2 linked regions of the Cricetulus griseus genome follow. The protein of the gene in region 2 interacts with the protein of the main gene of each other region in a pairwise test. Links are inferred from orthologs where the notes say so. Each region holds a gene or a part of one and is shown on either strand. Other genes may lie near its edges.

The links. The genes of interacting proteins can lie anywhere in the genome.
Region 1: the proteins of Ppp1r12a (region 2) and Atxn10 interact in binary tests that used the Homo sapiens proteins (3 or more experiments, as listed by UniProt). The link is inferred for Cricetulus griseus from reciprocal best matches to the Homo sapiens genes PPP1R12A and ATXN10.

What each region holds. Positions count from the first base shown.
Region 1 is NC_048595.1:382,150,518-382,156,743, reverse strand, and holds the start of Atxn10 (ataxin-10), read right to left. Parts: upstream 3,818-6,226; 5' UTR 3,676-3,817; coding exon 3,560-3,675; intron 1-3,559. UniProt on the Homo sapiens protein: May play a role in the regulation of cytokinesis. May play a role in signaling by stimulating protein glycosylation. Induces neuritogenesis by activating the Ras-MAP kinase pathway and is necessary for the survival of cerebellar neurons.
Region 2 is NW_023276806.1:147,070,192-147,076,260, forward strand, and holds the start of Ppp1r12a (protein phosphatase 1 regulatory subunit 12A), read right to left. Parts: upstream 3,968-6,069; 5' UTR 3,740-3,967; coding exon 3,503-3,739; intron 1-3,502. UniProt on the Homo sapiens protein: Key regulator of protein phosphatase 1C (PPP1C). Mediates binding to myosin. As part of the PPP1C complex, involved in dephosphorylation of PLK1. Capable of inhibiting HIF1AN-dependent suppression of HIF1A activity.

The DNA of each region.
Region 1 (6,226 bases), on a different chromosome or scaffold from region 2:
GATACTTCAGATATTTAGATCTACATTCCATGTTGAAATATTTTTCTGGATGGTTTGAGATATAGGTCAAGGTTCATTTTATTCCAAGTAATAGACAAATTGTTAACAATGTGCTTTAAGTTGATTTTGGTTTTAAATTTATAAATACTTTATAAACTCTAGCTAGAAATTAATTTTTTCACACAAAATATTCAGCATTCAATAAAAAGAGCCAAATGATCAAACACACACACACACACACACACACACACACACACACACACACACTCGATAAAAAGTTATCAGGCCCAATCTTTATAATCAATATACATAATTAAATGAGAACATCAGTTTCAACAAAGTATAGAAATATAAAAACAGATATATTCAAATACATAACACAATGATAGCAAGTTTGATGAAGAAAAGATGAACAAACTAGAAGGCAAGTTAAAAGAGAAACTTTAAGCAGAAATTTGAAGAGAAAAATAAGTTAAGAACTGGAAAGATCCTCTTGGAACATATGGAGTCTGGGCTAAAAAAACACGAGGTTTACCCAAAAGACACACCAAAAACAGTGAAGAGCACCTGCTGCTCCTGCAGAGGACCTGAATCCGTTCCTAGCACCAACATTATGTGGCTCACTCCCCTATCCCCTAGCCCATTAACTCCACTTCCAGGAGACCCACAGGCCCTGCATACATGCACATACATATAGACAGAAAAAAAAACAAAAACAAAACACTCTCTTTTTTTTCTCTCTCTCTCTTCCATTTTTAAAATGAGGGTATGGAGAGACAGCTCAGCAGTTAAGAGCACTAGCTGACTTTCCAAAATTCAATTCCCAGTACTCACAAGAAGGCTCACAACTGTCTATAATAAGATCTGATGCCTTCTTCCAGTGTACAGACATACATGCAGACAAAACACCCTAATACACAAATAAATAAATCTTAAAAAAAAAAAATTAGACCGGGCGTTGGTGGCGCAAGCCTTTAATCCCAACACTTGGGAGGCAGAGGCAGGTGAATCTCCGTGAGTTCAAGGACAGCCTGGTCTCCAGAGCGTGTGCCAGGATAGGCTCCAAAGCTACACAGAGAAACCCTGTCTCGAAAAACCAAAAAAAATTAAAAAATTAAAAAAAATAACAACAACAACAAAAAAAAAACAATTAGGTGACAACGCAGAACTAGAATCAAGAACTCTGCACCACCATATAACTGCATTCTCCAAGCACCAGTTCATCCTTTCCGAGCTCCAAACTGACTGAAACGGGGTCACTGCTCCACAAGAACCGAAACCAAACCTCAGAAGCATTCTCATCTTCACCCCACAGCAGCGAGCCAGTGGTCCCTGAATCCTACCCATTCAGTTTTACAGATTCCTCAACATCCATCCTCTCCTTCCCCACAATGCTCTAATCTGGGCACTTTTTCACTGGGATTTCTGCAACAGCTGCTGAAACACACCCTTCCTCCTTCATCCCTCTCTCTGCTCTAATGTCTCTCTGTTCTCTTTCCAATGGCAATCAGAAAGACTTTCCTCACAAACACATTTTATCAAACCACTTTTTTTAATGAAGCCATCAGTAGTTTCCCATAATTCCTCTCACAAAAGACCAAATCAAGAAGTCTATGGGCCTTAATCTTCTCAACAAGCTTACGTAAAGGAAGTCAATGTTCAACTGTCTCCTCTGTCCAAGACATATTGTCTGGTTGTTTCTCTGCAACTCTACAAAATCAATATAAGACCCTTTCACAGACACTGCCTTTTCTAGCTAGCCCTTGAATCTCTAGTAATTTTACATGTATGGGTGTTTTGCCTGTGTGTATGTCTATGTATACCATGTGTGTATCTGATAACCATAGAAGCCAGAAGGGGACATCAAATCCCTTTGCACTAGAGTTACAGATGGTCATGAGCTTCTATGTGGATTGTAGGAATCAAACCCTGGTCCTCTGGAGAAGCAACAATTGCTCTTAACCACTGAACCATCTTCCAGGCCCTCTCCAATTATCTGTCTTTCCTGGGCTGGAAGGAAGGACCTTTACTGTGTGGATATCTACTACATTATCTTTACACAGCAATCCCCTGACATGTCTGATGAAAGGAATTATGTCACATTTGTTTTTGTAACTTCAGCCCCCTGCAAAGACTTGTTTTATAGTGCTCAATATACGGTTAATGAATAAGGTATAGGTCCTGCACGGTATAAACACACCCAAGCAGCAGATCAACCAACATTATTTCCCAGAAGTATCACACTGATCAGCGTCCTACCCACAAACCCAAGCAGCAGTACCTTGGGGCCTTCAATACCCTTTTAGATGCACACCCTTCTACTGCGACTGCAGATGGGAAAGTACTCAACTCAGCATTTTTTCTTGTTGTTGCTGTAGTTGGTTTGTGTATCTGTTTTGGGGATAGGGAGACTGTCACAATGTTGACCAGTCTGGCACTGAACTCAGAGATCCACTTGTCTCTGCCTCCTGAATGCTGGGATTGAAGACCTGTGCCACTATGCCTGATTCAGTTATCTGTCTGATTGTTTGTCTGTCCGTCTATCTGGCTGGTTTGGTTTGGTTTGGTTTTTCAGTACAGGGTTTATTTATTTATTCATTTATTTTGGTTTTTCAACACAGGGTTTCTCTGTGTAGCCTTGGCTGTCCTGGAACTCATTCTAGAAACCAAGCCAGGCTCAAACTCACAGAGATCCTCCCGCCTCTGCCTCCCAAGTACTGTGATTAAAGCGATTATCTGTTTTTTACAAAGGAAAAGTTCTACCCAAGCCTACGTGCTCTTTTCCACTCTGATCTCTGCTCTCTATCCACACTGGGATTACATGTTATCTCCCCACAAGAGAGAACAAGGGTTCTGAATCCTCTCACTCCAATAACTAAGCACAGTACTTGGTGCAGGGGAGACCATTACTGTTGAGAAAAAAATACTAATGCCTGTTTAGTGCTAGGTGTCAGGAATGGCCCAAGGCTGTGACATGCATAATCTCATTAAATTCTCACTACCATCCCACTAAGGGGGTACCCTCCAACATCCCTTCCATTAAACAGAAAGGGAAACTGCAGCACCAACAATACTATAAAATCCAACAGGAACTGACAGCCTCCCATACTTCTGTTTCCAAGTCTTATTTCGTCGCAGCATTGGAAACACGCACCCTATGTCCCATTTTTAAGGCTAGAAACAGAAAGGTCGGAGGCAACGCTGAGCAGATGTCAAGAAGCCAGTCCGGATCTGCAGGCTCCCGGGCATCTCCCTTTAACCCAGTGGTGGGAAGCAAGCCTGAACACGCCTCCCCGGCCATCGCCCGCCCTCAGGGCCTCGCCTGAGGAGCCAAACCAACAGCTTCCTCACAGCCAACTTGGGGACCAGCGTTGCCACCGCCTGCCTCCTCGGGGCCTGGGCAAAGCCTCGTCCGGAGCAGGCCTAGGCGCGAGCCACAGAGCCACAACCTGAGCGTGGGCCAAGCCTGTCTCGCCCGCCGCCCCGCCTCGCCCGCCGCCCAGCCCAGAGCCCCTCCATGGATCTTCTTCCACCTAACCAGCAGCCCCTGCACAGTTACCGGTTACGGTACTCCTTGAAGAGCGCGGTGAGGGCGCGCAGGGCCTCCAAGTCCTGGATGGGTGCTGGCACCATAACGCCCGACAGCCGGGAGGGTGGCATCCTGGGCGCCGCCATCTTGCCACTCACTCTTAGCCGAACCTGACGAGGCGGAGAGAAGAGCGAGAGAAGAGGAGACAAGCGACAGGAGAGGAGACAGAGACGCGATCTGCACGGCTCCGGCTTCCGCAGCCCGTGTCACCCAGATCCCGCGCAGCTGCGAGGCAGAGAGCGCGAGACTAGCCGGCTCGCCTCAGGCTGAGAGGACAACGCAGCGCAGCAGGGGGAGGGGGCGAGGGCGGAAGTCCCGCCTGAGGGGAGGGGGCTCAGCGGAAGTCCTGCTCCTGTTTGGGAAAGGAGGGGGGTCTTCGGGTCCTCAGTGGGGCATCGGGGGCAAAGACGCCCCCAAAAGGACAGAATACTGACTGGGACGAAGGGGGCGGGGACGGGGTGTGCTAGAGACTGTCTTGTCAGGGACAGATGTTCACCCTGAGGAAGGGCTTCCATAGGTGGGGCATAAACTGTGCCCCCAGAATAATGGATGCCGTCCCCTGAGGGGTCCGGGGAAGGGGGTTCCTTCAGAAGGGAGGAAAGGGGATACTGGCCAGAGGTGTCCCCTTGGGAGGGGACCTGGAAAGAAGACTTCCCCTCAGGGGATTTGTTGCTGGACCACGTAGTCCCATTGCTAGAGAACCTGGAATAGACTCCCTCCAGAGAAGGGAGGCTAGATTGAAGTGCTCCATGGAGGGAGACCTGAAATGGAGGTTCCCCCATGGGGAAGGATGCTGGCTACCTAGAGCCTGTATACGACGACCTTGGACAGAGGTTTCCCTCACAGGGAGAAGACTCTGAACAGAAGTGTTCCCTTGGGAAAGAACCAGGAAGGAAGCTCTTCCCACAGGGGAGGATGCTGGGAAAAAGTGTCGCCATGAGTGGCGTTTTCATTTCATTTTCATTTGTGGCTGTGTTGCAGCCACAAAATACCTAACAAAAGCAACTTTTAAAAGGATAGGTTTATTTTAACTCACAGGTTGAGGGTACAGGCCAATATGGTAGGGACTCATGGCACAAGTGCCTGAGGCAGCTGGTCACATTGCATCCATAGCCAGAGGCAGACACCAATGGATGAATGCTGCTGCTCAACTGGCTTCCTCTTTTTTATACAGACCATGGAACTGTACCACCTACATTTGGGGCAGGTATCCACATAGTTAATCTATATACTCCTTCACAAACATGCCCAGAGGCTTGTTTTTTGATGGGGGGTGGTTTTTCGGGGTTTTTTGTTATTGTTGTTTGGGGGCTTGGGGGTTTGTTTTTTGTTTGTTTGGTTTTGGGGTTTTTGTTTTGTTTGTAATTCTAGAGTTTGTCAATCTGACCATTAATCTTTGCCATCACAACAGGAGACCTGGGGAGGAGGATCCCTCTAGGGGACCAGATGCTTGTCAGATATATCCCCACATTGGGGCTGACTTTTAGAGTATTTTCTAAGCCGGGCAGTGGTGGTGCGCACACCTTTAATCACAGCACTCGGGAGGCAGGGGCAGGCGGATCTCTGTGAGTTCAAGACCTGCCTGGTCTAGTTCCAGAACAGCCTCCAAAGCCACAGAGAAACCCTGTCTTGAAAAATCAAAAATAAATAAATAAATAAAAGTATTATCTAGTCGGGAGGTGGTGGCATTTGCCTTTAATCCCAGCACTATTTGATACAGAGATTGGACCTTGGCAGGTGAGTCCAGACCCACATCATGCGGACAAAACTTACATGGTAAGTTTATTGGGGGAAGAGAAGGGAGAGGGGGCAAAAACCTGCCTGTCTCTTCAGAGGAACAGCAGGAAAGAGAGTGGGAATAGGTGAAGTTTGTCTCTTAAATGGACCTTTTGCGCCTGTGTACAGAACCAGGGTACTGCTTGCCATGCACAGGAGTGACTGACCACTCTGTCAGGTCCTGGATGCTAACACACACACACACACACACACAAAGAGAGAGAGAGAGAGAGAGAGAGAGAGAGAGAGAGAGAGAGAGGCACACAAAACCAAACCATATCCCTGTAAGAGGCAACCTAGGACAGAAGGCCAAGAGATGCAAAGGAGGTCTCCTTAGGAAAAGATACTGCAGGGGCCTGAGGGGGAGGTCTCAGGCAAAAGGTCCCCCTAAAAAGGTAGAAAACCTGGATCCTCATATTTAAATGTTATAATCTGTGCTCCTCCCTGGGGTGCAGCAACCTGTCACCAGTCTCAGACCCTGAAAGCTGACTTCATTGTGCTTTCTTATCATCTACTGATAATACTTGTCACTTGTCAAGTAATTAGAATAACTCATCAAGGTTTTAAAATACAGAGAGCCAGCAAAATAGCTCAGGCTGCCAAGCTTGATACCCCTGGGGCCACATGGTAGAAGAGGACCAACTCAAACACATTGTCCTTTGACCTCCATTCCTATACCCACATGTACACACACACACACACACACACACACACACACAAATCAATGAAAAAAAAAACCCACACTTAGAAGTTGTCTTAGTCACTGTTCTATTGCTGTGAAGACACATCTTGGCCAAGGAAACACTTATAAAAGAACCACTTAGCCAGGCGTTGGTGACGCACACCTTTAATCCCAGCACT
Region 2 (6,069 bases):
AATAAAAAAATGCAAAGATCCTTTCCCAATAAAAGTAAGTTCACCAATTGTTATCAAGCAAAAGCTAATGACAATGCTTTAAACCTCTATTAAAAGGATAGGCACAACACAGGATCGTTAGATCATCTGAAATCAGTATGTATCCTGGACTAAACCACACACACACACACACACACACACACACACACACACACACACACACAGAGAGAGAGAGAGAGAGAGGGAGGAGAACACAAATTGTTACTATAATACCAGGATTAAAAATATATAAGTGCACGGAACAGGTTGATAATCAAACTAGCAAGGAAAAGAACTAATACAAAGGTAATTCTGAAGAAAGGACAGGTGTGATTGACTAGACATATGTACACAGGAAGATGAGTAAACTGTAACAAAAATGTCTAACTTTATCTTGAGATTGATGACATCATTAACAGAAAGAGAGGTGTCAGTGTGAAGTAGTGCTTAGTGAGGAACGGTGTTTTAGTCTGAATTTTAAGCTGAAATTCATGATGATTTAAAACTAAAGCTGAATATTCAGACTGCACAAAAAGGATTCTATATAATCTCAAGACATGAAAATATAAACAAGTGACAAAAACAGATTATAACTCAATCACAATTTTTTTTTTTCTGAACAGTAAGAATCCCTTAAAGAAATGTTTTGTAAAAACAAAGTTGCTGTCAACCTATGGCAAAGAAACAGATCAGAATATATGTGACTACTTAATGATATATATTTTTAATTAAAATTACAATATATAGTTATATTTCACTTTATAAGAGAAAGTTGGGTGCTATGTAAGAATGGAAACTGAGAACTGATTTGGAAACCATTGGCACAGAGAAAAAAATAGGATTTTGAGTTAAAATCAAAAAGCTAAACTTGAAATTGTTACTCTTGCATTATAGGCATATCAGTAAAGACCAGCAAAGGGCATTTTATATATAACCCAATAAATCTTGAAAATGTTCACGAAGACTATAAATAAAACTCTGCAGGTGAATAATTGCCAGCTAGAAAGACTGAAACTGTACTCTAGACTTCAGGGTTAGAAAAAAAGTCAAACAACAGTACCATACTCCTGAAAGAGGAAGGCCATTTAGAGACTCAGACAGAAGTTTGCTTTCTCTCTATTCGGATGGCATTTCTATATCAACGGGATAAAGAGCAATAGCTGAGTTTCTTTCATTGCTTTTAATGAGAGCTCATTCAACCAATAAATAAACCTTTAACTACAAACCACTTATAAATGTAAGGAAAATGCAGGTGTTGAATGTAGTTGTGGGTTGTGAAGTACCCAGAACTTGTCTCCTGTTAACAAAAACTTGGGTAATTTTATCCAAACTAAAAAGTTGAGTGAATATTCAAATAGACTAAAGAGAAATTAGGCTGGGCAAATATTTCAGTTATTTTATGATCTTTTGAGTACTAAAATATTTGACTAGTCACCCAATCAGTTATGCAAAAGGCATAAACTCAGAAACTTCTCCTTATGTGCCTGTTAACCCAAATGAAACACTCAATAATAAAGACTATTAAGTACACGCACCAAACCACTGAATTCAGTTAATCAAGAAGATATCAGTGGGTCTAGCCTCTTTAAAGAAGTAAAAACTGAGAAACAGTCTTTCAAAGACAATTCCATGTGTTTTCTACTGCCTAAACAGCTTTTACAATATTAAAAAAAAAGAGAGAGAATTGGCCCTCTTCCTTCAATCCAGTAAATTGTCTATAGGGTAACTTTACATTTCTACTTAGCAGTGTTAGAAAACACACTGATATGAACCATTATCCAAGTATTCTGACATACAGTAACTGTGTTTCAGAAACAATTTCACACTAAACTTGCACAGACATTTGAAAGGAAACTTCAGGGTGTTTTTCCCCCCATTTTATATAATTACATTTTTTTAATGCCAAAGTTGCTTCTCAAAATCATGCTTTGTGATCTTGACTTATACTATGCTTTAAGCTTTAGGCAGATGCACTACATTAGAGATACCACGCTGTACTTTTCACTGGGTGCCACTCTGAATTCCAGATCTGTCCTGCAAATTGTCAGTCATTTCAACCCTTCCAGTCAGCTCTGTAAACAAAGGCTAAACGCCAAGTGTGATATTCGAGTTTGATTAAATAAAACTTAAAATGGTCATCGCTTACTAAAGCAGGAAGCAATATAAGGAAAATATACCATGCCTTTCTAAAAGGTACAAAGTTAATAGCCACAAAATGTAAAGTTCAGATACAAAGTGTGAAGCCCTAACTTTCAACCACCCAAACGAGTTTTTAACCACAGTATTATTTAAAATAAAACTGATTTTTCACACAACCAGGACGATTTTGAGATAGCCAGATAAGTCTTTTTCATTGTCAATTTCCTAGTAATTCCAAGTTGCTTAATATGAAAATAAAAGAATTTATGCCATGGCACCTATTACCAGCACTTAAAACTTGCTTTTCAAGCAGGACTCTTAAGGGTTTTGTTGCTTTTGGCTTGTTAAAGGCAAAGCAACATTATCTCTGGATTGCCAATAGTTTCTCCTTATTTGGCTAACACTGAGAGATCCCAATCGGACTACTATAAAACTTTAACGTGCACAGAGCATCCATTTTGAGAAAAGATTGTGATTAGCTTTCTTTTTTTCTGCCCCCACCCCAAAAGAAAAATACAACAACAAAGTTTGGCAACTGACTTTGAAGAGTGCAGTGTTTATTCTTCTCTTTCTAGCTCCGCTGCACACTCCAGGAGCCAGGACTCAGGGATCTGTGACACTGCGACAAACTCTTCGAGTACAGGAATCCATAGATTTCAGTGGAGAAGTGGGCAAGCCCACTTGGGAAGACTCCCTTACCCGATACACGACCATCCCCTCTCTTTCAGCCTCTGCAGATTAGCTAATTACACCCCGTTTTCCCCTCCCCAGTGACCAAGAGTAATAAAGGAGAAAACAGGAAATCGTTCGCTCAGGGCACCGGGGCTATGGTTCTTGATTACTATTATTATCATCATCATTTGTAATCAACTCCTAAAAAAGTACACCAAAACCAATGTTCACTTCCAGGCCAAGGGGGTCCATTTGCCCAAGTCACCCTGTTAGTGGTTTTCTACATCCTCCCCCCCCCCCACACCCAACAGTGTATTACTGACACCGGGCCTCGGCACAATCCATTACACACTCCTGCTCGTCTTGACCCAGAGCACCAGACACAGGTCCACAAATGGCCCTTGGGGTTCCCCCCCACAAGACCACAGTCCCATCTTGCCCCGCGCCCAGGAAACCAGCCGGCTCCCAACTGCAGAGGCAGCGAGCGGGGTCTGAAGGGGCCCCGGAGCCCCGCGGCCAGCCTCCCCGGACGGAGCCGCCCCCTCACCCGCAGCAGGGAGTCTCCCGCCACCACCCCCGGGCCTCAGGACCGGCGACCGGGAGAGGCCCGGGGGCGCGAGAACGGCGTGGGCCCGGGGGTGGGGGTGGGAGTGCGAGCGGCGGGCGCACAGACCTGGTGCAGGGCGGTGAGTCCGTCCACATTGGCGTAATTGATGTCGGCGCCGCGGTGCAGCAGCTTGAGGACCTCGTCCGTGTCGCCGCTGGAACAGGCGGCCAGGAAGACGGCGCCATCGTCGAACTTCACCTTGGTCTTCTGGCGCTTCACCACGGGAGGCTCGAGGTCCGTCTCCGAGCCGATCCAGCGCTTCAGCTGCTCGTTCCGCTTCTGCTTCGCGTCCGCCATCTTCATCCCCCTCTCCTGCCGCCGGCTCTTCTTATCGCGAGCGGGGGAAGGGGGCGGCGGCGGCGGCGAGGGGACGCGGGGGGTGTGCGACCGTGGCTGCGAGAGCGGCCCGGAGCCGAGCTGCGAGCCGGGGAGGAGACGCTCGAGACTTCCAGTATCCCACAGAGCACTGGGGCGAGCCCGGCAGAGCTGGACCTCTCTTCCTCCCACAGACGCCCTCCCGCCCCCGGCACGACCGCCCGCCCGCCCGTCCGTCAGCCGCGGCCCGGCTGAGCGTAACTTCGCGAGATCCGGGCCGGGGAGGCGCCCCGCGGCCAGTGCGCATGCGCGCTCCGCCTCCCTCCTCCTCCTGTCCCCTCCCCTCCGTTCCCCGCCCTCCGGCCCGGCCCAGGAAGAGCGCGGCCGCCCGAGTGTGGCGGCGGGGGCGCCACCGGAGGGAAGCGGGTGTGGCTGTGACTGCGGGGGCTGGGACGATCCTGGAAAGGGAGGGAGGAAGCCGGGAAGGAAAGGTTGTCCTGCGGGACCGAGAGCTCTGGAGAAACGCCGGCCGCTTGGCCGGCTGGAGAAGCGGGCGGTACCGGGCTTGACCTGCCTCCGGGGCTCGCCCTGCCGCGCGACGCGTCTGCCCAGGGCGGAGGGTTTTCCTATTGGCTGCGTGATTTGAATGGAGTGGACACAGGTCGAGCCTTAGGTGCTTGGCGGTGCTCTTTCCAAGGAACTCGGGTGAACCCGGGCTGCGCAGTCTTGATCGAGAGCGTTTGAAAAAAGTGGGGTGTGAGCCTTCCCCACGGCCCTGGTGGCTGTGACCGAGGTGATCGCCTACTGACAGGGGTATGATGACCTACGGTAATTGCGGTCGCTTCCTGCTAACACCCACAGCAGAAATGTCTTTCCTCTTAGGCTCGCTTGTTATTGTTGTTTTGTTTTTTCTGTCTCTTTAAGCCTGTTTTGATTCCTCTTCCTTCATGGCTTTCAGCCTGTGTGTGTGGCACTGCCCAGGAGGTTAGCTCAGCCTTGTTAACTGGTCCTGACCTTTTAAGGGATTTATGGTTCCAGCTCCATTGCTTTCTATGGAGTAAAGACCCGGGCTGCGTCTAGAATTCAAAAGGCATGTGGATAAAGGCCGTTAATTCGACCAATACTTATCGAATACCTGTCTAGTAAGTCGTGACTTCCCAGGCACTAAAAATACAATAAATATAATTTCTTTGAACCCATTTTGTAAATTCACGTGCTGTAAAAGACATTATCATAAAGGGGTTTTAACTTTGCCTTTTCTAAACACTGTCTCCCACCCACCCACACACTTCAAGTCTATAATAAGTCAGAAAACCCTACCATTGAATGTTTTGGGCTCCTCTAGAGTCTACAGTCTTGAGACTGAGATTTCCTCCCAGAAAAGAAAACAGTTTCAATTCTGAGTCAGGCTTACAGGGGCTGCCCATCTCTGTGCCCTACCCCCCTTCTGGTGATACTACAGTGAAAACTTATTTTCTTACTCTCATCATATTGCTTTTCGTAGACTACATTAGAATAATTGAGTAAAATCTGCTTAGGGAATTACCTTCTTATAGAACTGAATATTCTGAACCTCAATTTTAGGAATTTTAATAGAATCTTACATAGGATAAAAATACTTCCTTTGAAACACAAAATGAGTGTGCCACACATGAAATACACTATTGTATCTTCATAAAATGTGCCAAGGATCTAGCATCGGCCGTTCACATACCAATGATAATAATGGTGTTGGGTAGTGAATTTTCTTAACACGAAAATATAAAACTCCTCTGTACAGAACACAGCCCTCAGAATAAAAGAAAGGAATTGAGGATAGCCTTGTCAGCTTCTCTACCGAGAAAAACGACTTTTCCTTGTTTTCTGAGAACATTCTGGTCTATTTATTAGCTCTTAAAAAATGCTCTTGGAATATACATTGCTATCTCAAGTTTTCCCTTGGGCAAGAAGGATTTATTGGAAGGTATGTCATTTCTGATCCAAACACTTATTTCAGGATATAACAATAATACAAAAAACTAAATATTAGTTTATTAATAAAACATAATTAATGTTTTATTACCCAAAGCTACCAATTAAAAAAATAAACAGAAACCTCAAACCTTGGGCTGTTAACTTGTCCAAATTTCATGGAATTTAGCTTTCCTTCCTCCATAACTTCTAAGGTCAGGCAGTTCTTCCAATTTCCACCTGATCTGTCTTCTTAGGGTGTGTGTGTGTGTATATGTGTGTGTACTGTATGCCTATAGTTAACTCAAAAATTAACATAACTTTTTATTAGCACATACAGAAAGCAACCATTTCATATTATTATAATT